5 linked regions of the Sus scrofa genome follow. The protein of the gene in region 1 purifies or fractionates together with the protein of each later gene. This does not show direct contact. Links are inferred from orthologs where the notes say so. Each region holds a gene or a part of one and is shown on either strand. Other genes may lie near its edges. The genes, in order: PRKACB, AKAP5, AKAP7, myomegalin and AKAP9.

Region 1 (6,342 bases):
ATAGAAATATTGCTGTAAAGATGAGATTCTACTTTCTATAAGGATTTTGTAACAAATAAAAACCTGTTTTATTGAAGAAAATATACAAATTTCAAGTGTAGTTTTTTCTAGATTCTCATCTAGTGAAGCTTAATTTATCCTCCTCCCCTCCATCTCCTTTTTTTTTTTTGCTCTACTAATTTTTTTTTTTTTTTTTTTTGTCTTTTTGCTATTTCTTTGGGCCGCTCCCACGGCATATGGAGGTTCCCAGGCTAGGGTTCCAATCGGAGCTGTAGCCATTGGCCTACGCCAGAGCCACAGCAACGCAGGATCCGAGCCGTGTCTGCAACCTACACCACAGCTAAGGCAACGCCAGATCGTTAACCCACTGAGCAAGGGCAGGGACCGAACCCGCAACCTCATGGTTCCTAGTCGGATTCGTTAACCACTGCGCCACGACGGGAACTCCTGCTCTACTAATTTTTATAAGGCTTATTATACATTGATTTAAATAAATTAATCTTAGTGTTCTAATTAGAAATCTGGAATATCTGTACTAAGTCAAGTAACACTGAATGTAAGTCTAGACATGTTAAAAATGAATAATGGGCCTGAAATATGAGATTAGTTTTGTGCTTTTGGCAAAGGAATATATGAGTGTGATATTTGGGGGAGGTTAATATGTCAGAGACGACTGAAAGGATTAGCTAGAAGTAGAGAAGACAAGTTATTTTAGAAATCCACATTTGCACTAATAAAAATGAAATTCTCAAAGACTGAGTAAAATTTAGTAGCTGACTGAATATGGAGAAAAAAGTTAAATGGCATCACTTTTATTGCTGTTAACTCTGTATATGAACAACTAGGTGATTGTTGGGTAATTTACAAATATGGTCCTCTCAAAATTAAAACATTTTCAAATGTTTGATTCTACTTAGACCTTTGATTTATTAAAAATGAATGAATACTTCACTGTATGTTGAGTATGTAATACATTCATTGTATTTATGAATTCAAGTAACTCACAATTTGAGACAAATTTATAAGCAGCAGATTTTAACATAAAATTATAAGATCATTGGAAAAAGGAGAGAGAGCAGTTTATTTTTCTAGGAAGTATGTGGGAAACGTCATTGAAGAGATGAGCCTTAAGGATGAATAGAATTTCTTCCAAGAGAGCAAGTCAAAGAATTCAGGAATTTTATCTACTTATGCTCATACAGAGTCAGTTCATACTCTGCAGATGTTTACTAAAGATTGTAGACACCTGTTCAGTGTCTGGTGCAAAGTCAGATGTTAATAAATTGTTATTATATAACACATTTATCAGAAAACCACAAATTTAAGAAGTTTGATCTTACAGGTACAGTTGCCTCTTTGTTTAGATTGATGCTAATTTTATTACACAAAAAAAAATACACAAATGAGCTGTTATTTGACAAAATTCATTAGTCAGTGTTTCCTAGGTGCATGTGTGTTGTGTGTCCTATTTGATTACATTGTTATTCCTATTTATTGTATTTATTGTTAATGCTTATATTTATTTTATTTTTTAAGCAGTAGGCAGGAAATCTAGACCAAGATTTTTCTAGATAGATTTTTTTAAATCCCTCTCTCCCTCCGTACCTTCCTTCCTTCTTTCCATCCATCCAGCCATCCTTCTTTCCCTTATTTAAAGCTTCCAAAGAGAAATTTCTTATCCTTTAATTAGTGTGAGAAGGCAGGTACTCCAAATCATTGTTAAATGTCACATGTTACTTTTTTCCTATAAATGGACAATTTGCTTTAACCAAAACAGCTTTTTCCAAGTAAAACTCTCTAAATCAGGGGATGGGTGAGCAGTAGTCCTTAGTGTTAAACTTAAAAATTAACATGTCTCAGACAATTAGAAGGATTTTTTTTCCTCTTAATTGAAATTTCTTACTGTGGCTGATTTTATATAATTTTAATCTTTTTTAAAAAAATTTTACAATGTTTTAAAGTGTACTGCTGATAGGCACCTGTCAGATTATGTTTGATGAATAATAATGACATACTAAGTTTTTGTAGTTCCTGTATATATTAGATTTAAGTCAGTGGATTAGCAACATTGAGTTCTTTTTTTAAGTGCTAGTTCAGATTTTTTAACTTGAAAGTTATGTTATAAATTTGTTTTGCAAGTGTTTTATAATATCCATTCCATACCAGTTTTCAGTGGAAAGTTAACTACTTATAAGGATTCATAAAATCTATAGCCGATTTCTTGGAAAGAAAAAAAAAAAAACATTTGTAACATATATTTGGAGAGTGATTTGGCCTTCAGATGTTTACAGAGTTGTAATACATGTTTAACTAGTGTTCTTTTTTTAAAAAAAATATTTAGTTTACTATCTATAATAAAACTTTATATTTAATAGTCTCAGTAACTGTGTATTAATATAAAACACTCTTAAACGTAGAGCCTTTTAGGATGATATTTCAGGTCTTTAAAATCTTCAGCTCAGTTGAGATGAGGAGTTTTGCTGAGAGGCTCGGTAATGTGCTGTTTTATATTAACAGGAAACAGAACAGCAGTAGTGGTTTGAATACCCTGCAAACAGGAAGTTTGACACATGCATAGCTCTTAGCTTCTGTGTAAGAAGTTGTTGAGCTCCTCCTGAGAATATTTTCAGTTACTTTAAGTTAAGTGTAAATGCACATGAATGGCAGCTTATAGAGAACTACCCTGTAACCAGTATACAGGTACAACTGCACTTCAAAAATTGGAAGGTTTTGCCAGCCGATTATTTCATAGACACTCCAAAGGTACTGCACATGATCAGAAAACAACTCTGGAAAATGACAGCCTTCATTTCTCTGAACATACTGTCTTATGGGACAGATCAAGTAAGTTTTGTTTTGTTTTGTTTTCATGGTACATTGTAAGTAGAAGCTAAAATACTAATTGGAGTTTTAGATTCAAATGGAGAACTTTGGGTTTTGTTTTTTTTTTGTTTTTTTTGCCTTTTTGTGATTTGTACAAGGATATTTTGCAAGATGAAGTTGAAAAAATCCACAAAAACTTGATTCTAGGTTGAGCTGAATCACATAGTTCATTGTTTCCTTTTAAATATGACTATTTAAGTTGAATATCAGTGGGAAATTTTTCTACAAAATTCTTACATCATATCTAGTGTATGTTGCTGTTTGGGATTTTTTTGTTTTTGTTCTTATGTACAAGTGAAATACCTACATTTAAGAAAAAATTTTCAGTTTATTCTAAAATATCTTGGATTTATGTCTTAAAATTCAAAAAGGAAAAAATTCTTGAAATAATAATTAAAAATTTATCGTGAGTGCCATTTTTTATTTTTAAATGCATGTGGAAAAGTAACTTCAGTTTTATAAACATTATTTCTAATATGAAAGCATGGGTAGCATGATTTTTTGGTACTTATAATGTTATAAATATCTTTTATAAATATCTGATATTTATAACATTATAAATATCAAAAGTTTTCATATGGGGGAAGTTGTTTATGCATGCATCACATTCTTTCCAGGCATGTTAAAATGTTTGAACTTACTGCTTTGCTGAAATAGTGATATGTAATAATTTTTTGTGACATGTACTTTAAAGGATAAATTTCACATGTAAACAATACCAGTGCCACCATTCCACATTTCACCTTGAACCCTCCCCAAGGTATTTTTGTTACTCTGATTAAAGAAAATATTTCTTGCCCTTTTTAGTGTATTCGATCACCAGATAGAACTAGGTTTTGCTTCTTTCTGTTTATATATATAGTCCACTGCAATTAAGGAAGAAAACTCAGTTTAAAAAAAGCAGCAAAAAACCAAGAATGGCTTACAAAATTGACTCCTTGGTTTATATAGTACCTTCATAGTTCCACAGAAACTTATTTGAATTTTTTTTTTTTTTTACTGCATCAGAATTTTTTCATCTTTTTCAAGCTATTTTAGGGAGAAAGTAATGAATATATATTTGTACAATTTTTTTTTTACTCTAGAGGTTTTGATTATAATTATCCTTACTCTACTGCAAGTTGTTGGATAAGGAATCTCAAATATCTTCAAAATAATGAACTGTTGAATATTGAAACAGTAGTACATTATTAAAGTTTATCATGCAACAAAAATTTGCTATTCATTCTGCTTGCCTGTTTTGTTAAATTGCCTCCTAAGGCCTGTTGGAAAACATTTTTATGCATTTCAAGGACCTTTTAATTGAACATTCAATGAGGAATGAGGACAGTACTAAATTAGTTTCTGTTTCGCTAATGTCTGTTCTTACAAATATTGGGTGTTTAATAAATGTATCTCAAATGAACATCATGAACTTTTTGATTAAAAATTATGTTTGAACTATACTATCACCATTTTTAAAATGTGTGGGGGCTTATCACATTTTCTGAGACATGTTTTAAAATCCAGCAATTAAAAATATGAGCTAGAATTTCTTTTGACCAAAAAACAGACTGATAAAAGCTGTTAACATTTTTCTTTATTGTGATGTCTCAAAATAAAATAAATAGGATCATTGTACACAGTGAAATTAGGTTCAAACCTGATAGCCATTCAAATAATAGTCATGATATAGGGAATTCTTAGAGTAACTGAATGCTTATTAATCAAGCATTCTTCCACATTCTCTTTCATATCCTAAAATATCAAAACAGACACAATAACTTTATATATCTAGTGATAAGTATGGTAAGCATGAAGTTCTAGTTTCCTTCTATGGAATGTGTTGATACAAAGGAAAAAACAGATACAACAGAAACAGAGGAATCCTTTTGTTTCAAAATTCCAAGGTTAGTTTTTGTGGTGAAAACACAAGTTTTTATTCATTCGTAGTGTGAATTATGGAAGAAGTTATGACCATATGAAGTTTTCGTACAAGCCACATTCTTGAAAGCTACTTAAAGCAGTTTGCTTTCATTGACTTGTTTGACAAGAAAAAGGAATGTATTATCTCCTGATAATAAGCTCTCTGATTATGCTTGTTCAAAAAGTACTATTTAAGAAATCAACTAAATACAGAAACTACATGCAATTTTATAAAAAATTAGGTTTGTGAACTATTGAGTAAAGATTAATTACCAATTTAGGAATGTGTGAAATTTAATAAATTTAATCCAAGTTTCTTCTGTGGTGACATGAAATAGAGGAAGAAATACAGAAAAAAGGCCACATAGTGGTTTCCAGGTGCCTTACATGCATTTTATCTTTTACTATTAAATTAAGTAACAGAAAATCCTATTTGAGAACATAAATATTTAACAGCTGATTCCGTACACACATAAATACATGAAATTCAAAACAAAAACACGAAGGAATTCTGCTTTTTATTCTCATCGTGGAGATGGGAATATTGACATTCGAGTTTTTTTTCTAGCAAAAAAAATTTATTATGGTTGGCTTTTAAATATTCCTTTGATCATAAATGGTGTGTAGAATTACACAATGCTGAAATTGATGGAAATTTTGCACATTTTAAATCTTGGACATTAGACATTTAGTAAATGTCTAATTACCATATTTGAAGGACTGAATAGATGAATACCATCAAACGCTTTACCTATTCTCCTTTCCCGTGAATTGACAGGCTATTTCTCCAACAGATACAAATCCATATTAGTGAAGCTTAGAGTTAAATAGTATATTGAACAAATAAGTAATTTTGTATATGGATTTCTTCAGGTAAAATCAAAGCTAAACAGGTTATAATAGACTACTTTATCTAGTCAGTTTTACCTTTCCAAAGCTTACACTGTCTTTAAGATAATTCACTTCCATGCTTATTTCTTGTTTTTTAATGATTTGTATTTCTTACGTCATGGCTGGTTTACAGTGTTCCATCAGTTTTCTACTGTACAGCAAAGTGACCCAGTCACTCACACACACACACACACACACACACACACACACACACACACACACACACACACACATTCTTTTTCTCAAATTATCCTCCACTAAATCTGTATCATTATGACTTCAAAGCTAAAAGACCTGTCACATCTTTTTATCTACTTTTTTCATCTTTAACTATTCTGTAAGCATCTTGGTAGTCATCAGTTTTTACTCAGCAAACATTTTTGAGGATTTACAATATTGTAGACTATCAAGAAGGCTCTGGAAAGACATAAGATCTAGTTCTTGCCCTGAAAAACAGTAGGAAGAGTAAACATACAGATAACATAATATTCAAGGAATAGGGAAATGGTTGCTTAAAAATATTTAAGTAGCTTACTGTGGGAGCTTAGTGTAAGAAGAAATTAGCACTAAAGAGAAGATGGGGCCTTCAAGTATATTGAAGAAAGAATTGAAGTTTTGAGACTCAGAGGAGGAGAAACAGGTTATTTTATTATAAGAGTATAA
Region 2 (6,396 bases), on another chromosome or scaffold:
GTCCCCCTGCTGACCCCTATCTGAGCTGCTAAGGGCTTCCCTCCCCATATTTGTAATATTGCTGGTAAACATATTGCACTTTCTGTGATCTACACCTCACGGCTGCTGCTGTGTGTTAAAGATGTAGATACACTTGGTTCAAAGAAGGGACAGCATTTATGTGCTGTCAAGTAGAGCAGATTGCAACAGAATTACTGTGGAGTTTGTGTTGGATGGTACAACCCCAATGGTGTCCAGGAAGAGATCAAACCAGCAGAGAACTGGAGCCACAGGTTCATTTAATGGTGTTACAGGGAAGGGAGCTGGAGGGCTTATTACCAGTTGGTCTCTAAAATGTAAGAATTATTATCAAGGCATTATAAACCATTTTTGGTAGCTACAGGCCCAGGCCACGATGGGTGGTTGGGGACCAGGATGGGAGAAATGGTATGATCAGTAGAAATCAGACATATAAGCTATTTTATTGGCACACTGTATCTGGTGATGTTAACAAGATAAGTTGTAGGTAGGATAATTTCTCATCAGATGGGAGATATATTTAGAAACTGTTTCTCATTATATAATGAAAAGCTACTAATGGAGTAGCAGACAATGATATGGGTAATAGCTTACCAACTGTCACTTAACTGAGTTTGGGGATGATAGCTTTCTTTCCTAGGTGAGGGATACATTTTTTAAAACTCAGATATGGCGTCAGGTTCTAGCTGTATCCTAAAAGAAACCCACAGTGAAATATTTTATTTATATGGTTCTATACCCCGTGTGTTGGAAGTTGGGAATGAGTTATTTAGAATACAGCTTAAAGAAATCTGCCCTTCAAATACAAAATCAATTCACCTCTTCAGAGTACCCTTCGGTTCCCATTCTTTAGTTGTTTTGTTTTAAGAAAAGCAAATGGAGGAGTTCCTGTTGTGGCTCAGCAGAAATGAACCCAGCTAGTATCCATGAGGACACAGGTTCGATCTCTGGCCTCGATTAGTGGGTTGGAGATCCGGCGTTGCCGTCAGCTGTGATATAGGTTGCAGATGAGGCACAGATCCTGTGCTGCTGTGACTGTGGTGTAGATCAGCAGCTGCAGCTCCGATTGGACTTATATCCTGGGAACTTCCATATGCCACAAGTGGGACCCAAAAAAGAAAGGAAAACAAGTGGAATAAGATCTACAAGTTGTTAAAATGGCCTTTATTATTTTAACCTGTCCTTTATTTCATTCCCAATTATTTTCTAATAAAGACAGCTCTTCTACTCTGTCTTCATTTAGATAAGCTCATCTTATTTTTGCCTGAAATTGTAGCTAACTCCCAGATCTAGATTTGAGAAAACTTGTACTTAGTAAGTAAGAGCATCTCAGTTGGTTATGAATGGCATGGATTTCTTTTGGCTTGTTCAGAGTTCAAATCTGGCAGTAAGCAGGGTTAGTAACTCATCTGGGGATATAAAGGAGATGTACACAGACTGGTGTTAGCTGAATAAATAAAGATAAATTGAATTCTTAATTATCTCTACTATAGGTGCTTAGGGATTTTCCTGTTTTATAGCGCTTGTCTCTAGGATCTTGACAGCTTAGATTCAGCTTTGCTATTGTGTAAATAGTTCTTTCCTTAATAAAGAATCTTACAAAGGTAAACTATATTCCTGGATAAGCATCCAAAAGTGGGTAAGAGCTTTACTCTCTCAAAGCTCATGGTCCTATTGAAGAAAAGAGATAAGTACAACTGCTTTTCATAGTTCTTCCCTCTGCCTTAATAGCTTCTTCATCTAGATAGTATGCTTGGGAGGGGCCAGAGGAGGAGGCAGGAATTGTGCATCCTGCAGGACCTCACCATAGAGGCTCCCAGGAATGCCCTTGTAGGTAATATTAAGCCCAAAGCAAGTCACCCTAAACTCTCACTGCAACACCTTTCATTGGTGCTAATCCACTATATACAGTGGATTATGTATACAAATCAATGCTTATGGTGCTTTTCACTATGACTGGGAACTTGCTTAGATAAAGACTCTCAAAATGTGTGAAAATAACACAGCCTAGCCAAACAGAGAGTGAATATTGCCAGTGCCCTTTGCTCTGGTCTGTACTAGAATTGTGAGGAAAGTCAACTCATGTTTTAAACCCCTAACCCTCACCCCGCGCTGTACTTGAGAGGGACAAGGTTAAGCAGACACCTAGGAATGTAAGGGAAACGGGTAACTTGTAATCGACTGAATCCTGGAAATATACAAGATGTAAAGGAGGGAGGGGGCTGTGTTTCTGTGCCCTTCTGACATCGATATCACACAGTTTGCATCATCTCTTCCTTCCTCCTAGATTCTTAGGAGACAAGGGTCTGTGTCTTGGGCCTCTGAGAACCTTTGGCAGGGAACCGTGATAAGTGCATTACACCCAAACCCATTCCTGGAAAAGTTTTATTTTCTCTATTCATATAGGTAATTTTTCTTTTCAAACGAGATTGACTCTGCACAGATCTGAATCCTACTTTTAAAATGTGATATCTGCTGTGACTTTAAATATTCAGTGGGGGGATTTATGATGTGAGTGCCCATAGTTTAAAATTGGATTTTGCTACTTTGCATCTGAGAAAATGGAAGGCTTACGACCTTGGTCCCCTCCCCATCTCTCTCGGTGGCCCCCGGCCCTTGCCTGGATGTGGTCGCGCCTAAAAGATTGCCGCCTGGCTGGGCGCGCGAAGGTCCCACGCCCGGGGCTGGGCTCACCCGCAGGTGGACCTCCTGTCCCCCCCCCGCCCCTCCCCCGGGCCACCGCCCCCGCCCCCAGCCCGGGCCCCGCCCCGCGCCCGCCTGCTCCACGCGCATTGGTGCCTCCAGCTGTCGGTCCCCGCGCTCTGGGGAGGGGGCGTCGCCCGGCTGCGGTCCCTCTGCAGAGGGTTGCTCGCTCCCGGTGCGCCGCTGCCTTCCCGCCGGCCCCGCGGGCGCCCCCGCGACCTCCGCGGCAGCGTTGTCCAGGGACCCCGGCGCCCTCGGTAAGTGAAGCGGGCGATGAGGCTGTGAGGAAAGAGGGCGCGGGGCCGGTGTCCGGTCCGCCGACCGCCCGCGTGGCGGAGTGGGCGGGAGGTGCCCGCTGGCCACCGGGAATCTGGGGCCCCGAAGGTGGCCGGGGTAACAACGGGGGAAGGTGTTTGTCCGCAGACATCTCCACTCAGTACGACCCTCATCACTCTGCCCACCTGCCCTCCCCGCGTTTGAGTTGTCCTGGGGGCTTGTGTAGCTGGTAGCTTTTTTCCTTCCTTGCCCTTTTCGGGGCGAATGCGGTGTGGGCTTCCTGGCCATTATAATTGTACATTTAGCTTGAAGCTGGATTAGCTGTTCCCCGCCCCAGCACTTTCCTTTTTGAGTACTTTATCCTGCGCTCTAGCTCCTGCCATAAGGCGCGTCAAGCCGAATGAGAGATGCCTTCCTCCTGAAGGAAGCTTCGTGTGGCCCACACCTGGCGCGGGGAGAGATGCACCGCTTTTCTCAGGAAGTGGCTGCTCTTTGCCTCCGTGCTTCTCTGCTCACGGGAAAAGGGCAAGGGGTATTTTCAGTGGCAGCAGACTTGCGATTCTATCAGGAAATTACAGCTTCCTGGAGCAATAAAACTACTTCTGCAGGTTAAGGACGAATCATTTGCAGTCTAATGTTCCGCAAAGTTTTAATAGCCACAGACTGCATTCTCCCCCTTTCAGTTAGGTTTTGTTTGGATATCTGTTGTAGTTCTACATCTTGGTATACATTCCAGTGAGCTTCTCAAGCAATTGTCCTTGAGCAATCCAAGTTAGTTTCAAATGACACATTCCTAAATGATCTAATATCAGCATTTCTATTAGGTATACATCCCTCCGGTTAATAAAAAAACACTCAGGTGGGAGGATTCATAAGAGGTGCGGAGACAAAGAGCTATAATTAGCTGTGGTTCTAGTGTATCATGTTTAGAGGGACACTGTTAAATGTTCATATTTTAGTTCCATCATGGTTGTAGGATGGCTTTGTCTTTCTGTCGGAGGCAATGGAGTATGTATCACCCGACCTAAGGGAATATTTGCTTACATCATGAACTGATATTCAGAGTTCCAATTCCTTCTGTGGTTCATGGAATCAGGAGTTGCCCAAATAAACCTTCAACAGTGAAGGATTTACATTTTTTTAAAAGTACAAAGAAAGATTCCCTTTGCTTATCTTCAGACATCCATAAACTAAAATCCACAGGATTTCTGTTAGGTGGTCACCTCCTTTCTCTGTTCTCTGGTACTATCATACCATCTTGTGGATTAACTTTAAAATATACCTTTATGTTTATGTATAATCAGTTTGTCAGTTGCACAACTTATCTATTTATTTTTGGCTTTTAGATTAGTTCCAGAACCAAGAAAATATAAAGAATTTCAAAAGCTTGATTTTAAAATGGCAAGAACTCAGTCTACTCTTGCTTCAGCTATGAGTTGATGGGCTGCATCCTGGTTACATGACCACTGAACAATCTTTAAATTTTCGGGCTAGTGAGTTTGGTGCAGATTAGCATCTCCAAAAACGTCATTTTTTTCTGATGAAAATCCTAAAGCCCAGTTTCAGGGGATGGGCTTCAGAAACAAGCAATTTTGGGTTGAATCTGAGCTCTGTTATTGACTAGCTCATCTAGAGCAAATTAACCTCGCTCTGGGCCTCAATTTCTTCATCTGTAGATGGTGATACCACCACCTACTCTATAATGTGGGAGGATTAGAGATGTGTGTAAAAGGGCTTAGCACTTCCTAATACACAGGAGTTGCTCAACAAATGTCAACTACTGTTATCATTCACTCTGATCTTCAGTTACGTGCTCGTTATGGAAAATGTTTAAACAGCAGATACTTAGGAAAAAAATGTCAAAGTTATACAAACAAATTTAAGAGTGGAGAATGACAGTAATGTTAAATTTCCCAAGAGCATGTATGAAAAGTAGCACCTCCTTCATGGAATATACATTTTTAGAACAGAAACCTTATGGTATAATGGAAAGAACATCAGAGAGTTAAAGTCTTCAGTTCTAACTCTGGCTATGACCTCATCTAACTGTGTGGCTTTTAGCGGGCCAGCTGCCCACTTTGGAGCTCAGTTTCTTCATCTGGCTGGATCTGAATAATCTCAAATGATCTCTAAGATCCTTTGCAACTTCAGAACTCCTTATTGGATGTAATAAAATTTAGCTTGCCCAGCACCCTGCCCTTTATTGTTTTTTGGTGGTGGTAGTGGTGGTTTTTGTCAACTTTCGATTCAGAGTCATAAACAGTTCATAAAGACAGCACAACTACAGAATTGATAAAATAATATCAGATTTGCAGAGTAATCCAAAATGAAGTTTTAACAAAGAGAGCAAAATAAATTCATGCTGAAATCTTTTTGGATAGGGCAAAAGTAAACCCCAATTTTTATTCTCCGGTCATTTTGGTAAGTTATTATATGGGAAACATGCCTGGTAGAATCATAGTCTCTACAGAAAACAGCAGGCTGATGGTGAAATAAAATACCACTCTGTTTTCTCTTGTCAGGTTGATCGTTAAATAAAGCAAAAATATATCCAGTAAAAGGGCTTTCATGAAGAAATTAAAGACAGAAATTACAAGTAATAGAGAAACTAGGTATTTGTATAACTGGAGAAACCACCTAAAATAACCATGGAGTAAGACAAAAGGAGTGACTCCATCTGGAAGAAATTTTATTTAGTGTGTGTTTTTTTTTTTTTTTTTTTTTTTGTCATAAAAGGCTGCTAAGGAAGAGAGGCATAGTTTCTAGAGAAAGAAAGATATAATGTCAAAATGGAGACCACAGTTTCTGAAATACAAGTAGAAAGCAAGGATGAGAAGAGATCAGCAGAAGTTAGTCCTCAGGATGAGAGGCAGGAGGAAAAAGCATCGATGCTTTGCTTCAAGAGAAGGAAGAAGGCAACCAAAGCAAGGAAGCCCAAAGCTGGCTCTGATGCTCCTGAGGCAGCAAGGAAATTTCCCCCAGAAGCGGGAGCTTCTGATCAGCCACAGCCCCCAGGGGGAGCCTGGGTTTCAGTCAAACGCCTTATAACATGCAGGAAAAGATCAGATTCTTCAAAGCAGCAAAAGCCCTGTAAGGCTAAAGTGCAGCCTGAAAGCAAGGATGCTGATCTTTCTAAGAAAAAGGCAAAATCCAGACTCAAGATTCCCTGCATAAAATTCTCAAAAGGGGGGAAAAGAAGTAATCATTCCAAAATTATAGAAGACTCAGACTGCAGCATTAAAGTCCAGGAAGAGGCTGAAAGTTTGGATATAAAAACTCCAGTCCAGTTGGATGACCAGGCAACAAAAACCAAGTCAACTCTGGATATAAGGGAAGATGTCTCACAGAAAGATGGTGATGAGGTCTGTGAATCAAATGTGAACAAGAGCATAACTTCTC
Region 3 (6,310 bases), on another chromosome or scaffold:
GGCCTGGAAACTTCCACATGCCATGGGATTGGCCCAAAAGAAAAAAGATTCAGATGTTATTAGCCTCAAGCTGGTGAAGCTTTAGGGAAATAAGATTATCCATGATATTGATTTCCTTTTCTTTTTTTTCTTTTTTTGAAATTTATCTGGGTGTGTTACTTTTTTTTTTTTTAGCAAATATGATTACAGATTTGATAGTTATAAAACTTTTATTCATTCATTCATTCATTCATTCATTCAATAAGTAGTCCCTGAACAACCACTGTGCACTTGGAAAAACAAAACAGCCTCTGCCTTCCTAGGAAATAGTGTGGTAAATAAGGGTTGTTAGGTAAGGTCTGTTATGCAGAGATTTATTCTCCTCTTCTGAACCAAGGGAGGGAAAAGCCTTTACAAGTGGAAATTCACGTCACCTTCACAAAATAAAATTTATGCCCTGCTTTTAGGCAGAAAGGAGGCAGGCAAAAATTCCTCGAGTGTCTGTTGTTTCTCAATTACTGCTAGTTCAAAATAATCTTTAATGCTAAAGTGGCATATTTTGATCCCCTTCAATGTTGACCGTGGATTTCCTTTTTGCAGCTTTTAGTTGACTAGTTATTGCAATGACTCCTGTTTCTTTCTCTGCTGTTAGGTGACCAGCTCCTTAAGAAAAAGACCCATCTTACTCACCTGCAAAACCCCAGGATGTAGTAGGCATTAGGGGAACCTGTTGTCCTTCTCCAATTAGCCAGCCCATAATTGCAATGAACCTGTCAACCAAACACTCAACTTGGTAGAATTATTTTACAACCAGATTAACGAGCTTTATGACTAGTTGTATAGGGTCTTTCTGCCAACTATTGGGGTTGTGCGCAAGTCCTTGCTTCCATGTTCAGTATAGGATGCATTCAAGATAAGGCAAGTGCTATCATTCCCAAGATAGTCTCTATTAATTTGTTGAAAGATGAATCTACTTTTCCTTGCTGATTGGCTTCTTTGCACTTAGAAAACTCCAGAAGAATTTGCTTTTAAGGGCCGCACCTGCAGCATATAGAAATTCCCAAGCCAGGGGTCTAATCAGAGCTGCAGCTGCAGGCCTACGCCACAGTCACAGCAGCCTGGGATCTGAGCTGCATCTGTGACCTACACCACAACTCACTGCAACACCAGATTCTTAACCCACTGAGCGAGGCCATGGGTAGAACCTGAATCCTCATGGATACTAGTGGGGTTCTTAACCTGCTGAGCCACAAGGGGAACTCTTCCAGTAGAATTCTGATCCAAGATCAAAAGGTTTTGTTTTTCTTTTTAAGGCAGCACCTGCAGTATATGGAACCTTCTGGGCCAGGGGGGTTGAAATGGAGTTGCAGCTGCAGGCATACTCTAGAGCAACACTGGATCCCAGCTGCATCTGAGATCTATGCCACAGCTTGCCTCCAACACCTGATCCTTAACCCATTGAGTGAGGCCAGGGATTGAACCCCCATTCCCACGGAAATTATGTCGTCTTCTTAACCTGCTAAGCCACAATGGAAATTCCCAAAGTTTCTTTTTTTTTTTTTTTAAGTAAAATTTTCCCCCTAGTTGTCAGTCCTTTAATATGCAACCACAAATAGCTGCTTTCCATTTAATTTCTAGGCATGAAACCAGGGTTAAAAATTTGAGACACTGCTACAACTTGGCTTTTTTTTTCCTTTTGGCCGCACCCCAGGCACATGGAGGTTTCTGCACCAGGGATCAAACCAGCGATCCAGATGTGACCTGCAACAAGGTCAGATCCTTAACCCCCTACGCCACAAGGGAACTTTGGCTTTTTTTTTTTTCCTTTAGTGCAAAGTAAAGATCTAATTATACAAACTGACAAGGTCTCATTCCTGCACATCTCGCTCTTTCCAAGTATTTTATAAGCAGAACGCTGTGTTTTGAAAGCTCTTTGCAAAACCAAACACATGGATTCTCAGGAGAACCCAGACCAGGGAGTTCCTTCTTTAAGGGCCCAATCTCACCCCCTCCGCACGGGAAGGAAAGGCCGGGCACTGGGAAGAACTGAGCGCAGCGGAAGACCTTAGAGGTCCCCGGCGGGGGCGGGGCAAGGAGGGGGCGGAGCGTCGCCGGGCAGAGAGGAGCCCTCTTCTCTCCCTCGCGCAGTAGTTGCGGCTTCCCCCGCCTCCCTCGCTCGCGGGAATCCGGGTACCGCGGCCACATCGGGTCGGCCCCTTCCACTCCCTCCGGGCGCGCGGCCTGGGCATGCAGCTCCTGCGGGGATTGAAGATCTGGGGGCTCGGCGCCTCCGCAGGCCTGGTCGCCGCGGCCCGAGCCCCCGCCGCCTGCCGCGGCCACCGCCCCCCGCTCCGCCCCAGCGCGCCGCCGCCCGGCCCCCAGCCCCGCCCCGCCTCCCGCCTCCGCCCCGCGCCCAGTCCCTGGCCGCAGCGCCCGGCCGCTGTCGCCGGCTGCAGAGGCCTGCCGCCCGCTAGCGCCGCCACCATGGAGCACCCCGGAGCCGGTGAGCCCGGGCGGCCGAGCGGGCCGGGTGGGGCGACTGGAGCCTGGAGGCGTGGGCCCCGCTCGGCCTCGGGGAGGGCTTGGTCTCTCCCCCAGACCTTGCAGCGCGACCCTGAGCCTGCCCTGCTCCGGGGCTCCTCTCCCGGCTCAGCGCGGGACTCAGTGTAGCCTCGAGAAAGCCGTGCACTGGGGGTGTGATCAGTGCCTGCAAGCAAGGCTTTCAGTTAGTGCACGCACTGCTGCTGCCACAGAGGCCGGGGGTGTTTCACCTTTGAAACACCCTAAGTTTCGCACCCTAAATTTCGCTTTCGTTTTCCTTTCTGAGTTTGTGACCTTTCGGAAAGTTCATGCCAACGCACACCCACCGACAGTGTTTGTGTGGCCAGCAAAACCTAGAAAAACTCCACTTTTATACTTTATCAAAATTAAAGACCTGAACCACCACTTTTAGGATTTCCTGCTAGGATTTTATTCTAAGACCCCTTTAAACTGGCGCCAAATCTGCGGTAGGGCCGGGAATTAATTTCTAGTTTAAGTCAGCATTTCCTGTGAACTGAACTTTGTGGGTAGAGCGAGGGTTAGAGGCCGAACTTTTGGTGAAAGGGACCAACAAACCGGTTAGAGAAAAGGTGCTCTTCCGTGAGATTTTTGTAGTATAAACGCTTAAAAAGGTATAAAAGGCGTGAAAATGTTATACAATAGTTTACAAGAGTTAAGAGAATGGAAAAGCGAAGACCTTGTAGGTGGATGCTGAGAGCGGGAGTTTTGAGATGGATGCGGTTACCGAAGTGAACGCATAGGGGGTTGTCAAAGAGAAAGGTTTCACATCCCGGTGTCTTGAGTGCTTTTAGTGTATGGCCAACGTTCGAATCCTGATGATGTGCCTTTAAGATGTTTGTTTGTCTTCTTACATTTCATTTCGGATATTATTGGCTTATTTTGTGTATTTATAGTGATTTGGATTGTACTTTTGTTCTCTTTCTCGTTCATTTTTTAAACGATGTGGAAACCAAAACATGGAGGTCAGGTGACTTGTTGATTATCACCCAGCTCAATATTTCTCCAGATGTAAGATGTTTCTATTTTTAGTAGCTAGGCCAAGACCAGCATGAATGATGGGATTAACCCTTTCCACTGGCTCTTGGGAAGTCTCCCTGCTGTATACCTAGTCGAGTGAATTGAAGAGAATCTTGCCTAATAAAGTTGTACTTTGTTATCCAAATAGGAAGCTTGCATTTTGTGTGACAAAGGATGAAGTATCCTTGTTTTCCCCTATTGGTCTGTGACAAAATCATTTTCTAAAATGCATGTATATTCAAATATTAGTGTATATATACTTCATGTATGGTTTTGTAATATATTTTAGATGTATGCATTAATTGTTTTTTAATGTTTTTTTAATGTACCGATGTGGCCGCGGTACCCGGATTCCCGCGGTACCCGGAAAGTAATATTAAGGAGTTCTCATTGTGGCTCAGTGGAAATGAATCTGAGTAGCATCCATGAGGTTGAAGGTTTGATCCCAGGCCTCGCTCAGTGGGTTAAGGATCCAGCACTGCCGTGAGCTGTGGTGTAGGTCACAGACACGGCTCGGATCCTGCGTTGCTGTGGTTGTGGTGTAGGCCAGCTCGGATTCCACCCCAGTCTGGGAACCTCTGTGTGCCATGGGTTCGGCCCTAAAAAGATTAAAAAAAAAAAAAAGTAATATTAATTCTATGTAAGATGTTTGGATAGCAGAAACAGGAAAAATACAAATATATTGAGTACAACTATGGCAGCATTTAGAAATAATTTATATCCTTTAGCCTTATCCTATGTAATTGCCAACATAGCACAAGTATATATAGTTTTATATGTGCTTTTTAAAAGGTTAGTGTAGGTATCCCCTGCTTTTCATAAGTTCTCATTATGCCACTTCGCTTTTACATTTATTTTATTTGTTTATTTTTATATTATTTTTTGTCTTTTTAGGGCCGAACCCACGGCATATGGAGATTCCCAGGCTAGGGGGTCTTATCAGAGCTATAGTTGCCGGCCTACACCACAGCTCATGACAACGTCAGATCCTTAGCCCACTGAGCGAGGCCAGGGATCAAATCTGCGTCCTCATGGATGTTAGTCGGGTTCTCTAACTGCTGAGCCACGACAGGAACTTCTCCTGGTACCTCTTTTGTAAGAAGAACATCATTGCCAGATCAGTTTACAGAACCGTAAACACTGTTAACTTTCCATCAGGCTTTTTGCTGGAAAGGGCAGGTTTTCGTGGTTGAGTAACTGGTTTCAAATTATAGCCCCAAGACCTACTAGCTTAGTAACCTGGGGTAGGTTACTTCATCGGCTAGTTTGTAAAATGAGTATGATAAGAATACCTCCCTGGAGTTCCTGTCGTGGCGCAGTGGTTAACGAATCTGACTCGGAACCATGAGGTTGCAGGTTCGATCCCTGCCCTTGCTGAGTGGGTTAAGGATCCTGTGCTGTGGTATAGATTGCAGACGTGGCTCGGATCCCGCGTTGCTATGGCTCTGGCGTAGGCCAGGGGCTACAGCTCCAATTCAACCCCTAGCCTGGGAACCTCCATATGCCATGGGAGGGGCCCTAGAAAAGGCAAAAAAAAAAAAAAAAAAAAAAAAAAAATACCTCCCTGATACCATGGTTAAATGGATTACTCTTGGTAAAGTGCTTCCGCTGTGCCTGGCAAATGTATACATGCTCAAATGTTAGCTGTTGTTACTGCTAGTGGTAGTTGACCAGTTTAACTTCATCTTTATAGTATGAATGCACTTAGCAGCATTACTTTTTTTTTGGATTTGTACAAAAGATAGAATTTTGTTTTAATTGGAGTTAAACCAAATTTTAAGTACTCAGAATGATAAATTTACAGTTTAAATATTTATTTAGAGGTCGGTTATTTTAAGGCAGTTTTCCAAAAGCAAAATATATATACTTCTGTAAAAGAAAGTGCAATTGTGATGGATGTGTTTAATTCACATCTGCCAGCCTTTGCTCAAACACTAGAGCTCTGGGAACTGGAGGGAGGCTTCCAGATTTAAACCCTGTTGAGAAACATTATTCTATAGAATGACCAGCAGTTCTTTTCAAGAGATAACTTGGAAGTGGTATTCTCTTTTTTTCTGAATTAATAATTCATATCTGCAAAAAATTTTTCAATTGTTCTGTAACTTCATACAACAAAGTTTGTATTTCAAGTTCTAGACTATTGATTTTGACATAATATTGCACTCAAGAGTTTTTAATATGCTTCGTTTAACAAGATGGAGAATGGTGTTGAGCAAGTTATGTTATGATTCCATTTTGGCTATTCTGTCAAATAGGATATCAGTTAGCCCGTGAACATGAATCCGTGATGTGCTAAGAATGCCATTAAACACCAGGAATTATTTTTGGGGGCCCTGAGATAGCTGTGTGGCAGTGGAGCTTGAGTGATTTATTAACCACTCCCAGATGGGGCTCACTTTGTTAAGTACGGTGTACGGAGCACCTCCTGAAAGCCGAACACTGAGCTATGCATCACAGAATCAACGGAGAGCAAGACACAGCAGTTAGGGAACTTAGAGTAGCACAATCCTGTAGATGGATAGGGATATAATTATGAAAAAGTCCCCCTTTCACTTTCAAAAGAGTGGTTTGGGCAGTAGCCTCTGTGGTCACTTTAGCTTAGAGTCTAATGGAGAAGACATGCCAGTGGACACCTGTAACACGATGTATGTGTGCTGTGGCTGAAGGAAGCCCGAGGTACCTGGAGGGAGATTGGATTCCCTGACTCAGCCCTGAACGTGTCATCAGGAAAGTTTTCCCTGCCAGGAGATGA
Region 4 (6,477 bases), on another chromosome or scaffold:
CTGTGTGAGGTGGCACCTCATTGTAGTTTTGATTTGCATTTCTCTAGTAATTAGTGATGTTGAGCATTTTTTTAGTGCCTACTGGTCATCTCTATGTCTTCTTTGGAGAAATATCTATTTAGGTCTTCTGCCCATTTTTGAATGGGTTGTTTTCTTGTTGTTGAGCTGTATGTGTGTTTGTATATTTTGGAGGTTAAGCCCTCGTCAGTTGCATTGTTTGCAGATATTTTCTCCCATTCCGTATGTTTTCTCTCTTTTTTTTAATGGTTTCTTTTGCTGTGCAAAAGCTTGTAAGTTTGATTATTTTTGTTTTTATCTCTATTGTCTTGGGGACTGACATAACAAAACATTTGTACAATTTATGTCAGAGAATGATTTGCCTAAGCTCTCTATCAGGAGTTTTATGGTGTCATGTCTTATGTCATTTAACAAATATTTTGAAATTTATTTAAATAGCTATGGATATTTAATAACTTGAGAGACTCAAACGTTTACTATTTTAAGATTAATTCTTCTGATAACCATATTACTGCAATCTGTACTTGAACAGGAAATCTGGTTTTAAAACAAGTATTTTGTAATATTGTTATCAATTAACGCAAAGCATGATTGTTTCTGGCTTCTTAAAGATTTCCAACCAGCAGAGGAAAATCGTGCACATGCTTATGGTGTTACCATAAAGCCTAACTGCATTTATTTTTACATTCTTGTATTTCCTCATTTGCTTTAGATTCTCTGCCAGAATCACTTTTTTTTTTTGGCATAGTTTTTAGTAATTAGAACAGCTGTTTCCAATGCCATAACTAGGGTAATGAAACCTAATACAACTGGTTTGGGACATGGGGATTTTCCATCTCTTGGAAACTCCCTCCCAGATCAGAATTATTAGGTCTTAGAAACACAACAACAGAGTGAGTACAAAAGTAGTTATGCTTTTAGGAGAATCTTCCCAGGGCCCAAAATCTAGAGATCAAAATAGAGATAGTGCAAAAGATCCCTGTTATAGTAATACTTAGGAATCTTGTTCCAAATGGGAAGATAGTTCTCTAAATTCAACAATTTTGTATGTAATTCTTTATTAATTGGTTTTCCATTTATCTGCAGAACTTTGATCTTTTGGCAAGATTTGTCTGAATACAGTTTAATAAGAGAGTTCTAATTCAGTAGTTTTCAAAGTCTGGTTCTCAGCAGCAGCTGCTTGACCCAGGAATTTTCTAGGAATGCAAATTCTTGGACCCCTTCTCAGAATAACTGAATTAAAACTTGTTAAATCTTTAACAAACCCTCCAGGTGATTCTGATGCATGCCAAAGACTAAAACCCACTGTTTAAATTAATTGTTTTATTTTGTAGGTTAGGAAATTAAGGGCCCGATATAAGCGATTTGACTTAGGACAGATAGCAGACACGTGCTTATGAATGCACTTATCAATCCATTGTGAGGGCAGAAAGCATGTATATAAAATTAATCATTTGTCTAATTCATTATAGGTTATCATAATATGAAACTTGTTCTCAGTAAAATTTTCCCTTGTTATGTACTTCTGATAAGTTTTAGAAGTATTTATTTTGTTCTAAATCATCACAAAAGCCTTATGTCTCACCTTAACAATATGTTTTTTGTTTCTATTATAAATGTGTGGTGTGGGGAGTTCCTGTCGTGGCGCAGTGGTTAACGAATCCGACTAGGAACCATTAGGTTGTGGGTTCGATCCCTGGCCTTGCTCAGTGGGTTAATGATCCGGCATTGCTGTGAGCTGTGATGTAGGTCGCAGATGCGGCTCAGATCCCGCGTTGCTGTGGCTCTGGCGTAGGCTGGCAGCCACAGCTCCGAATGGACCCCTAGCCTGGGAACCTCCATATGCCACGGGCGCGGCCCAAAGAAATAGCAAAAAAATAAATAAATAAATGTGTGGTGTGTATATGTATATAAAATAATATTTTCCAAGATCATTGGATAGAAACTATGAAAATTTAAAGTCACAATTGAACATTTCATCAAATTTCTTCTGGGCTATATTTTAATCTTCCCAATTTTCAAAGCTATTCTTATGATAGAATGAGGGTTACTTTAATCCCTCAGATTAAACTTTGTGGGCTATATATATTTTTATAATTATTTACACCTTTTTAATCTTTTAAAATTGAACTATACCAACGGATAAAATCTACAGAAAAAGCATTTTCAGTGAGCTTTAAAATTGTACACATCCGGAGTTCCCGTCGTGGCGCAGTGGTTAACGAATTCGACTAGGAACCATGAGGTTGTGGGTTCGGTCCCTGCCCTTGCTCAGTGGGTTAAGGATCTGGCGTTGTCGTGAGCTGTGGTGTAGGTTGCAGATGCGGCTCGATCCCGCGTTGCTGTGGCTCTGGCGTAGGCCAGTGGCTACAGCTCCGATTAGACCCCTAGTCTGGGAACCTCCATATGCTGCGGGAGCGGCCCAAAGAAATAGCAAAAAGACAAAAAAAGACAAAAAAAAAAAATTGTACACATCCATGTAACTATCACCCAAAACAATAGAACATTTTAATCAGTCCAGAAAGTTCCTTTGTGCCCTCTTGTAACCAATTCTCACCTTATTTCACCCCCCATAACCACTTTTGGAATTTCTATCATTATAGAAATTGTTAGACTTTAAACTGTTAGACAAATAAAAATCACACAGGATGTATTGAAATGGCTTGTTTCACATAAGACACTTGAGATTCATTCATGTTGTGGATATCAGAATTCATTCTTTTTTATTGGTGGTTAATATTACATTATGTGAATATATGAAAATGTGTTTATCCTACCTTTTTCTTAGTAATATTTTTCTTATCACAAATCAATCCATACTTATTATAGAAAATTATAGAATACAAATGAGGAAAGAAGAAAGGTATCCATAATCCTACTCTCCAGACATAATCATGATTTAGTAACTTGTATATCCCTGTGAACCTTTGTTTATATAAGTTGTCCACATATATAATATATATATCATATTTTAGAAAAATTCTCATTTTAGGTTCAAGATTTACCACTTAGACTCTAAGTCTTAAATTGGCACAGTTCTTCATTTTAACTATAGAATATTTCCTAACCTTAAAGCATTTAAAAAATAATATATGAATATAGATTCATGCCCCAGATTCAAATGATACATGATATATAGAATAAAAGTAAATGTTCCTGTTCAGCTCCCTATTTTGCTTGCCTCCCCATAGGTAGCCAGTGTTAACCAAATACAAAATCTTGACCAAGACGATATTGATAAGAATCATAAAGTACTGAATTGTTACTTTATAATTTTTCTTCATTTTTTAATTTTTCTTTCCAAGTTTTATTATACAAAAATGATCTTTTTATAATACCAAATGATCACTTTAGGAGTAGTTCTAGTAGTCTACTATCTGTTTTGAGATATGATCTAAATATTTTCTCTGAGAGTGAAGAGTGCTATCTTCAGATTTTTTTTGATTGTTGAATGATTTATTCCTGTCTGTTGTTGAAAGCCTAGATATGTATAGCTCTCTTTCAGTATGTTGACCTTTACCATTTTTTAAAATTATTTATATTGATCTTTACCACTGAAGAAACATATTGTTTGATGGGAAATTGCCTTTTCTCCATTAGTACTGACTTGTATGTCAACTAGCTATATACTGTCATTAAAGTCTAGAGGCTGCAAGTTAGATGCAAAATCTTATTAAGTAATAGAGAATAATACAAAGTATTGTTTAGAGTTTGCTCCTGAAGAGCACTTTGTTTCATTAGCATTTTCCCCATTGGGAAAATATGGCTTGCATTAACAAAGATGAGGCCTCGATTAATGTCTTAATTTGCAGTTTTTGGTCTTTTGAGTCCTTGCTGTTCTTTAGGACAACACTTAAGACAGGGTAGGGCAGGGTAGTGACGTGGAAGTCCAGAAACTCTTTGCCTCTCTGTACAGCACTATAGATTCCAAAGATTATTACTTAATTTCTTCTGACTCCGAAGCTCATTTATCACTGTAGTGAGTTTTACTTGGAACTCTATTTTACCTTCTTGGTTTGGGGGTCAGAACTACACATTTAGGTGAAATCACAGATGTGAAGTTCTGTACCCTACTAAACCCAAAGCTCTAAGGACTGACCTTATCTCTCATGATGGAGCTGATAAGATGTTGTCTTGATGATTAAATAAGAGCAATAAAACTTCATATGTGCAGAGCCCCCATCAAACTTTAAAATTACTTTAAAATAGTCCCATTATTATAATATTAAAATAATATTAACTATTATTTAGTGAGCCAAATTCTGTTAAAGCACTTCCCCCAAATCATCTCGTTTAATCCTCAATAAGAAGTTTGGGGGTTTATTATGAGCTTTCATTGAAAGTATCTGAGGAGTTCCCATTGTGGTGCAGCAGAAATGATTCCTACTAGGAACCATGAGGTTGTGGGTTTGATCCCTGGCCTCGCTCACTGGGCTAAGGATCCAGCCTTGTCCTGAGCTAAGGATCCAGCCTTGCCCTGAGCTGTGGTGTAGGTCGCAGACATGGCTCGGATCTCACGTTGCTGTTGCTGTGGCTGTGGTGTATGTAGGCCAGCAGCTGTAGCTCCAATTAGACCCCTCGTCTGGGAACCTCCATGTGAGGCAGGTGTGGCCCTAAAAAGCAAAAAAAGGAAAAAAAAAAAAAAAGTATCTGAATGTCTCCAGGTTTAGAAGCGTGGGCTCTGTCCTGGAGATGAGATTCAGAAATATTTATGACTGTTGCTGACTTTACAAGGTCAAGTTAGTGAAATCTAGGGTTACTGTAACTGGGGAATAAATGTTCTGCTCTGGGGAAATGATTACTTGGGTCCGTTTTCCTTTCCATCTGGAAGCTGGATACCTCTCAAGCCAGGGAGAGAGTTTTTTATTGTAAGTGGACGTTGACACCTCAGTTTCACCTAGACAGAATTCCAGTTTCCCTCCTTTCTTTGCGTGCATTCCAAGTTCTACACCCAAGGGTGGGTGTCTTACTACTGGATAATGTTGAATAATACAGGATACTAAGTGAAGTCAGTGAAATTCTCAGCCCCACTTCTACAGATTGCAGCACTCCCCAACACTAGGAACTGCTTGCTCAAATAAACAAGCCTTTTGTTCTAGTGTTTGTCTCCCTTTCCCACCCCTAAAAGAAGGCCTGAAGTCTACCTGAACCTGAAAGAGGACTTGGTGATGGGAATCTACTCTCAGATGTTTACATTCTTGAAAAAGCTCATTTTCTCTGTTATCTTCAAAATCTTGGTTAACCAGCTGCATTTATGTGGTTTTTGTTGGACTTTCTCGGGTGACTGCTTTGTGCTATTTCTTTTCTAAAAAAGGGCAAATCATGCAGGAGGCTAAACGCAACCCCAAGATCACGTGGGGAGAAGCATTTGTCCTCTTTTCCAGATACTCCCGACAGGGAGAGGCTGAACTGATCCTCCTAATATCCGCCCTACCTGCTCCCTCTGGTTTATCAACCCTTTCTCCTTCGCCGCTGCTGAAGCCCCAGGGCCTTTTAATCCAGGGACCAGACTGGGTAGGGAGAGGAGGTGGGGCAGCAGGCGGGAGGGAGGCGGCGCGCAGCGGTACCTAGTGGTGCTGCCAGGCTGCTCCATCCAGAGTACGTGGCACTACCCGTGGAGTGAGGGGGAGGGGATTCAGCTTACTCCTCCCCACGCAGAGCCTCGGAACATCCCGCAGAAGCGGGCGGAAGGATCCGTGAGGGAACTGGTGCGCTTTTTCAGTGAAATTTTAGAAGATGACAGTGGGCTGACAGTGGATGGCATCTGTCTTGCTCTCCGCGGAACCCACGCGAGCCAGGTCTGTGCTCTACGGCAAGGAGCAGTGACGGGTTTGTAGGCTAGGGGCCCGCACTCGCCGCCCCGCATGCGCAGAACGAAGAGCCGGCCTGTCGGACTACAGTTCCCAGAGGTCTTTGCGGGTGGCCGCCGGCGCCGAGTCGCTGGCGCCATCTTGAAATCTGATCCTCAATCTCTGAGCCTTTGCGTCAGCCGCGGACGGCGGTCAGTGTATGGTGAACCAAGCCCGCTTAAAAGGGAGGACGTTGAGGACACCGTGGCTGGCGTGAGAGACAGCTGGAGGAGACATGGCAGGTTTCGTGCGCGGCCTGCGCTGCTGTCACACAGCATCCCCCTGAAGTGTTTTCTCGTCCGCCCCCTCCCCGAGGGGCGGGGCTGACCACTCTGGTACCCAGAGCCCGCGCGTGGGTGACATAGGAGCGCCCCTGCAGAGTGGGGAACCCACCAGGCTGTGCCATGCCGGCCAGGGGCCACCGAGGCGGGAGACAGAACGCGACCAAGCGCCGCTGAGTGATCACCAAGCAGCAGTCGCCTCAGGGCAGCTCGGTAACCGCAGGAGGGAAGATGAAGGAGATTTGCAGGATCTGTGCCCGGGAGCTGTGCGGAAATCAGCGGCGCTGGATCTTCCACACAGCATCCAAGCTCAACCTCCAGGTTTTGCT
Region 5 (5,114 bases), on another chromosome or scaffold:
ATTAAACCACCTTGATGTGTTCTCTGCAGAGAAAGAATAAATATATTTGGTACTCTAAGCAAATTGTTTTTGAAAAACACATCCTCATACTGAAAACAGCTAAAATTTGTACCATATATGAATTCTGTGTTGTAAGAGTAAATCTTGGTTTTGAGTTTTTCCCCAGTAAAAGTCAGTAGTATGAAAAGACTTAATTACATTAATCTAATTTTCTTTATCCACATCATCTTTTCCCCCAAACTTCACCCTAGTTAAAGCTAAGGTAAAACTAAGAAGAGGTCTTTTAAATAAAAAATAGTTTATTTTCTTTGAGGTATAGTTACTTCCAAATTATCAGAAATACTAATATTCAAGTATAAACAAAACAACACTTGTCCTCTCTTTCTCCCTGTAGCAAGAATAATTGAAAATGACAGTAAAACAGATATAGTAGTAGAGTATGGTACTCTTTTGAAGCCTTATCTTTTGTAGAAATTTTTCAAGGGCTTGGTATTTTTTTTCTTTACAAGGTACATTTTGGATTACTTTAGGTGCTGAAAAGACTGACTCATTTTATCATTCTTCTGGTGGATTGGAGCTATATGGAGAACCAAGACACACTGCGTATCGCTCAAGATCAGATCTGGACTATCCAAGGTCTCCTTTACCATTTCAGAATAGGTAAGAATTTGATAAAAACCTGTACCAATATACTAATTCTTAAGAGAAAAAGGATAGTGTTAGGGCTTTGACTGATTTGCATTAAAAGAACTAAATACCTCTTTAGTTATATATGATTTACATAACCTAAAGCTCAGAATCAAAAATAGTTTTTGGATTTGTAACTGGTTTCCAAGGGCATAGGAAACAGAGCTGATCAAGTGTTAATTGGTATATATGCTGTGATTAGACATTGGGAAAGGCATTGACTAAAATTGGTAGTTTCCAGAATTATGAAAAAAAACTCTAAAGTTTGCATAAGGTGCATTTATATGTTTGCAACATTTATTGATGGCCTTGGCAACAGGCAGTGTGCTGGACATTCTTTTGATGACTTAGTATCTGCTTCGAATTTATTGAGGAGTTTTTTTCCTTTATACATGGCAAACTCAGACATATGAGGGATATAGATGAGGCAGAGTACCAGTGGTCTACCTTTTGAAGGCAAGGTGGAGCTCGACTGGCACATTGCTTGCATTGTTTTTGGATAGTTTGGATTCATGTTCGTATTTTTTATCTCATAGGTACCCAGGCACTCCAGCTGATTTAAATCCCAGTTCTTTAGCATGCTCTCAGCTTCAGAATTATGATCCTGACAGAGCCCTGACAGATTATATCACTCGGCTAGAGGCGCTACAGAGACGGCTTGGAACTGTACAGTCAGGTACCCTCAGCTTAACCAAGTACTGGCAGCACCATGGTGCTAGATAGACCCAGAACTCTTTCTTTTCTTGAAATTCCTTGACCTTCCTCATTAGGACAATCAAATCTTAAACTTGAGTATGAGTTACCAAGCTAGATTTAGGAATTTAAGCCAAAACTTGATTTATCACCCTGGATCCCACTCTCCTGCTTATCTCATTAAGACAATTGATTAGGTGAAGTACATGATGAGCATCTATGTACAAAGTACTCTGAGACACACAGAGTTTCTGCTGGAGAATTTGCTGCCAAGTGATACATGCTGAGGCATCCAAATAAGAGCTGGGGAGATGAGAGGAGGAAGCAAGTGCTTTTTATATGTGATCCAAGAAACCCATCCTATTCAAAGGACTGTGCAAGAATGACCTTTTATTGTCTCTGCTAAAAACAAAAAAAAACAGGAAAAGGGAGGGGGAAAGAAAACCACACAAAAATTTTTTTGTACTTAGTAAATGTGGAATCCCTTCCCTTTTTATTGTGGGAAAAAACCTCTCTTCTCTGTCTCTCAATTCACTCCTGATTCAATGGTCTTGAATCATTTTAATTTAATGAGCTTTAAGTCAGTTTATATGTATGTATGTGTATATGTATATTTTCCTTTTATTAAAGACCCTTTTTTCCTACTATTCCCACAAAATAGATAGGACTAATAGCCAGTTATTTTAAATTAGTAGTTTGCCTCTTCATATAAGAAATTGTCTAACCCAAGCAACTTATAGTTGTAGGAAGCAATTATCATAGCAGGACTTGGTTGGCCTGAGCATTTATATTTCACAAGACCCAGATTTTTAAGACCAAGAGGTATTTCAAGAGGCAAGAGGTATAGAACATTCAACCTGCAGGGCACTTTACAGAGAATCTTATCATTAATCTCACTTAGCATGCCCTGGAGCCAGCCACGGTGAGTTTTGAATATATGTTCAAGGTCTCCTATTGTGTAAGCCAGCTGCTACAGCTCTGATTCCACCCCTAGCCTAGGAATCTCCATATGCCCTAAAAAAAGACACACACAAAAAAGAGTCTCTTTTAAAAATCAGTTCAATTCTGAATAAGATTATTTTAGGCAGAAAAAAGTTTTTAAAAATGGTGCCTCCTTCTGCCCTTCATGGAGTCAGACGCGCTACCATTGCGCCACAAGGTCCCTCTTCTGCCCTTTATGAACTGGTTAGTCTGATTTAAGTCACAATCTCATTGAAATCACTGAAGTATCCTATTTCTATGTTACAGGTTCAACTCAGTTTCATGCTGGCATGAGAAGATAATCCTTTGAAACATGAATCAAAGTGATTTTAAACAAATTCCCTTTTGTAAATCAATGGTTCTTTTGTGCTTTTGTATTGTGGATATTCACCGGGACCAATACAAACACAGCTTATGATTGTATACAAATCCCTTGCCAGCACATGAAAACAAACTGGATTCTGTACATATAAGCATTGTGTATGTATTCATGCACAATAATCATCAAATTACATGTATATTTGTGGAATGCTAATTTAAATGATTAAATTATAAACCTTGTGTATTTATCAAATGGGTGAAAAGATTAAACTTTTGCGCATTATGATACTGTTGAATGTGTAGCTCGAGGTGTCCTGCACTTTTCTTATAAGGCTACTGAAGTTACATGTTACTGCCTAATATATTTGCTACTGGTGATAAAGACAGATAATATCACTTGTAGAGACCTATTTTTGTATAATGGTAGAAGTTTTGGATTTTATGGGGTATTTTGTCAAGTACTGAAATAAAAATGACTTCACCATTTTAACTACACTGTATTTGAACCTTTTTTTGTTTTCATTTTTTTGGTTTTTAGGGCCACACCCACAGCATATGTAAGTTCCCAGGCTAGGGGCTGAATCAGAGCTACAGCTGCTGGCCTGCACCACAGCCACAGCAACACCAGATCTGAGCTGCGTCTGCCACCTACACCACAGCTCATAGCAACGGCTGGATCCTTAACCCACTGAACAAGGTCAAGGATCAATCCCACATCCTCATGGATACTAGTCAGGTTTGTTTCCAGTGTGCCATAATGGAAACTCCTGAACCTTCATTTTTAAGCCACAGTTCATGGTGCATGTCTTATTAGTCTGTTCAGGTCACCATAACAAAATACCATAGCCCGGGTGGCTTACAAAAACAGCAGAGATTTCTCACTGTTTTGGAGGCTAGGGAAATCCAAAATCAAAACACAGCAAATTTGATGTCTGGAGAGAGCCTGCTTTCTGACTTCCTAACTGCCGTCTTCCTGCTCTGTCCTCACATGGCAGAGGGGCAGGGTGCTCTCCCAGGCTCTTTTGTGAGGGCATTAATCCCATTTGTGAGAGATCCACCCCCAAGACTAATCACCTCTTGAAGGCCCCACTTCCAAATACCAACATATTGGGTGTTAGGTTCCAACATAGGAATTTGGAGAGACATCTCATTATTTATCTCAAGTATGTAGGACCTAGAGATTCAGAAATTTGCCCTGATTTTAGAATTGCCTACTATTGGGATTTTTCTCTCCCCACACTGAGGAAGAGTTTTTCTGTGTGCCTTCCTATCAACTTTAAGTCTACATACAGTGTTTTTTAGAAGCTGTATTAGTATTTTCATGATTAATCCACATTTGCCTTACTACGTTAGGGTTACTTGTATCCAAAGCTATGTCTTCACAAAGCCCTGCCCGCTAAGATGATGTGGAAATCATTTAATTCAAAGAATCTTCTGTTAACCACAGCGTAGCAGAATTAAGCAGTATTCTTGCTGTCTAATAGAAATTCAGAGTGAGGTGCTCTCACAGATATAATACACATCTCTATGTTACTTCTTAAGTAGCGCCCTCCCTGATAACATGGCCATCACTGAAACAGCAAGACAAATAGTATCTGATGCTTATTTCTGGAGGATTTTGTCTTAGCATTAGATATTCTATGATTTATACCAACACAAACATATTAGCAGCTGAATTCCAATTGGAGGACTTCTAAAAGTACTATATTCTAAGACCTTGGTTGAAGTGGGAAGGTTGTGAGTAAAAAGCTTTTTTTTAGCTAAGCATAGCCTCCCATTCAGGATGATTCTGCGCTAGGAGAGAATGAAAAAAGAGCAGACAGAGAAGCCTCTGCTCTGATCAGTCCCATTTCACTCCCATGGTTTGACCATCAGTCTCCTTATGACATTAGATTTCTGCAGTGAAACTTATTAATGCTTCTTAAATTAGTCTGATTAAAAACTGAATCTATTAAAGTCTTAAAACTCTACTCACTAAACACAGACTAAACACCACAGTGTTTTAACCCTTTTGTGCCAGGATGTTCTCTAGCAGTCTTGTCAAACCAGAATCCCTTCTCAGAGTAATGCTGACATAAATAATACAGACGTAAAATATATGGGATTGCCAGGGAAACCAGTTATTTAGAAAGAGACTTTATAAATTTTCTGTGGTGAGAAAAGAAAGAAGATGTAGCAGATCCAATAACTACTATAATTTCAAAGCAGTGATGAGAGTTAAAGATACTTCCAAGAGATCTGCAGCATCTATCAAAGTATCTGTGGTTTCTGTTCACAAACCACGGATACTGCTAATGCAGCTGCCTAAATTCATAAAGAAAATGTTACAGTTTGAAATTAGGACAAATGAAGATGGAACATCATGCAAGTTCCTAGATTCCTGAATTCTACTCATTGAAGTACACACTTTACAATTTGTGTGAACAGAATAA

The links.
Region 2: the proteins of PRKACB (region 1) and AKAP5 purify together in Homo sapiens (affinity purification with mass spectrometry; 4 studies listed by BioGRID and IntAct, counting the BioPlex papers as one, with this or other methods). This does not show direct contact. The link is inferred for Sus scrofa from reciprocal best matches to the Homo sapiens genes PRKACB and AKAP5.
Region 3: the proteins of PRKACB (region 1) and AKAP7 purify together in Homo sapiens (affinity purification with mass spectrometry; 4 studies listed by BioGRID and IntAct, counting the BioPlex papers as one, with this or other methods). This does not show direct contact. The link is inferred for Sus scrofa from reciprocal best matches to the Homo sapiens genes PRKACB and AKAP7.
Region 4: the proteins of PRKACB (region 1) and myomegalin purify together in Homo sapiens (affinity purification with mass spectrometry; 5 studies listed by BioGRID and IntAct, counting the BioPlex papers as one, with this or other methods). This does not show direct contact. The link is inferred for Sus scrofa from reciprocal best matches to the Homo sapiens genes PRKACB and PDE4DIP.
Region 5: the proteins of PRKACB (region 1) and AKAP9 purify together in Homo sapiens (affinity purification with mass spectrometry; 5 studies listed by BioGRID and IntAct, counting the BioPlex papers as one, with this or other methods). This does not show direct contact. The link is inferred for Sus scrofa from reciprocal best matches to the Homo sapiens genes PRKACB and AKAP9.

Annotation. Positions count from the first base shown.
Region 1 is NC_010448.4:129,589,883-129,596,224, reverse strand, and holds the start of PRKACB (cAMP-dependent protein kinase catalytic subunit beta), read left to right. Parts: upstream 1-2,529; 5' UTR 2,530-2,660; coding exon 2,661-2,844; intron 2,845-6,342. UniProt on the Homo sapiens protein: Mediates cAMP-dependent signaling triggered by receptor binding to GPCRs.
Region 2 is NC_010449.5:88,536,141-88,542,536, forward strand, and holds the start of AKAP5 (A-kinase anchor protein 5), read left to right. Parts: upstream 1-2,797; 5' UTR 2,798-2,978; intron 2,979-2,984; exon of another isoform or gene 2,985-3,471; coding exon of another isoform or gene 3,472-3,505; exon of another isoform or gene 3,506-3,945; coding exon of another isoform or gene 3,946-4,021; intron 4,022-5,519; exon of another isoform or gene 5,520-5,733; 5' UTR 5,734-5,786; coding exon 5,787-6,396. UniProt on the Homo sapiens protein: Multivalent scaffold protein that anchors the cAMP-dependent protein kinase/PKA to cytoskeletal and/or organelle-associated proteins, targeting the signal carried by cAMP to specific intracellular effectors.
Region 3 is NC_010443.5:32,357,918-32,364,227, reverse strand, and holds the start of AKAP7 (A-kinase anchor protein 7), read left to right. Parts: upstream 1-2,079; 5' UTR 2,080-2,226; coding exon 2,227-2,482; intron 2,483-6,310. UniProt on the Homo sapiens protein: Probably targets cAMP-dependent protein kinase (PKA) to the cellular membrane or cytoskeletal structures.
Region 4 is NC_010446.5:100,729,916-100,736,392, reverse strand, and holds the start of myomegalin, read left to right. Parts: upstream 1-2,274; 5' UTR 2,275-6,379; coding exon 6,380-6,477. UniProt on the Homo sapiens protein: Functions as an anchor sequestering components of the cAMP-dependent pathway to Golgi and/or centrosomes.
Region 5 is NC_010451.4:72,051,724-72,056,837, forward strand, and holds the end of AKAP9 (A-kinase anchor protein 9), read left to right. Parts: intron 1-509; coding exon 510-660; intron 661-1,223; coding exon 1,224-1,363; coding exon of another isoform or gene 1,364-1,410; exon of another isoform or gene 1,411-2,628; coding exon 2,629-2,663; 3' UTR 2,664-3,175; downstream 3,176-5,114. UniProt on the Homo sapiens protein: Scaffolding protein that assembles several protein kinases and phosphatases on the centrosome and Golgi apparatus. Required to maintain the integrity of the Golgi apparatus. Required for microtubule nucleation at the cis-side of the Golgi apparatus.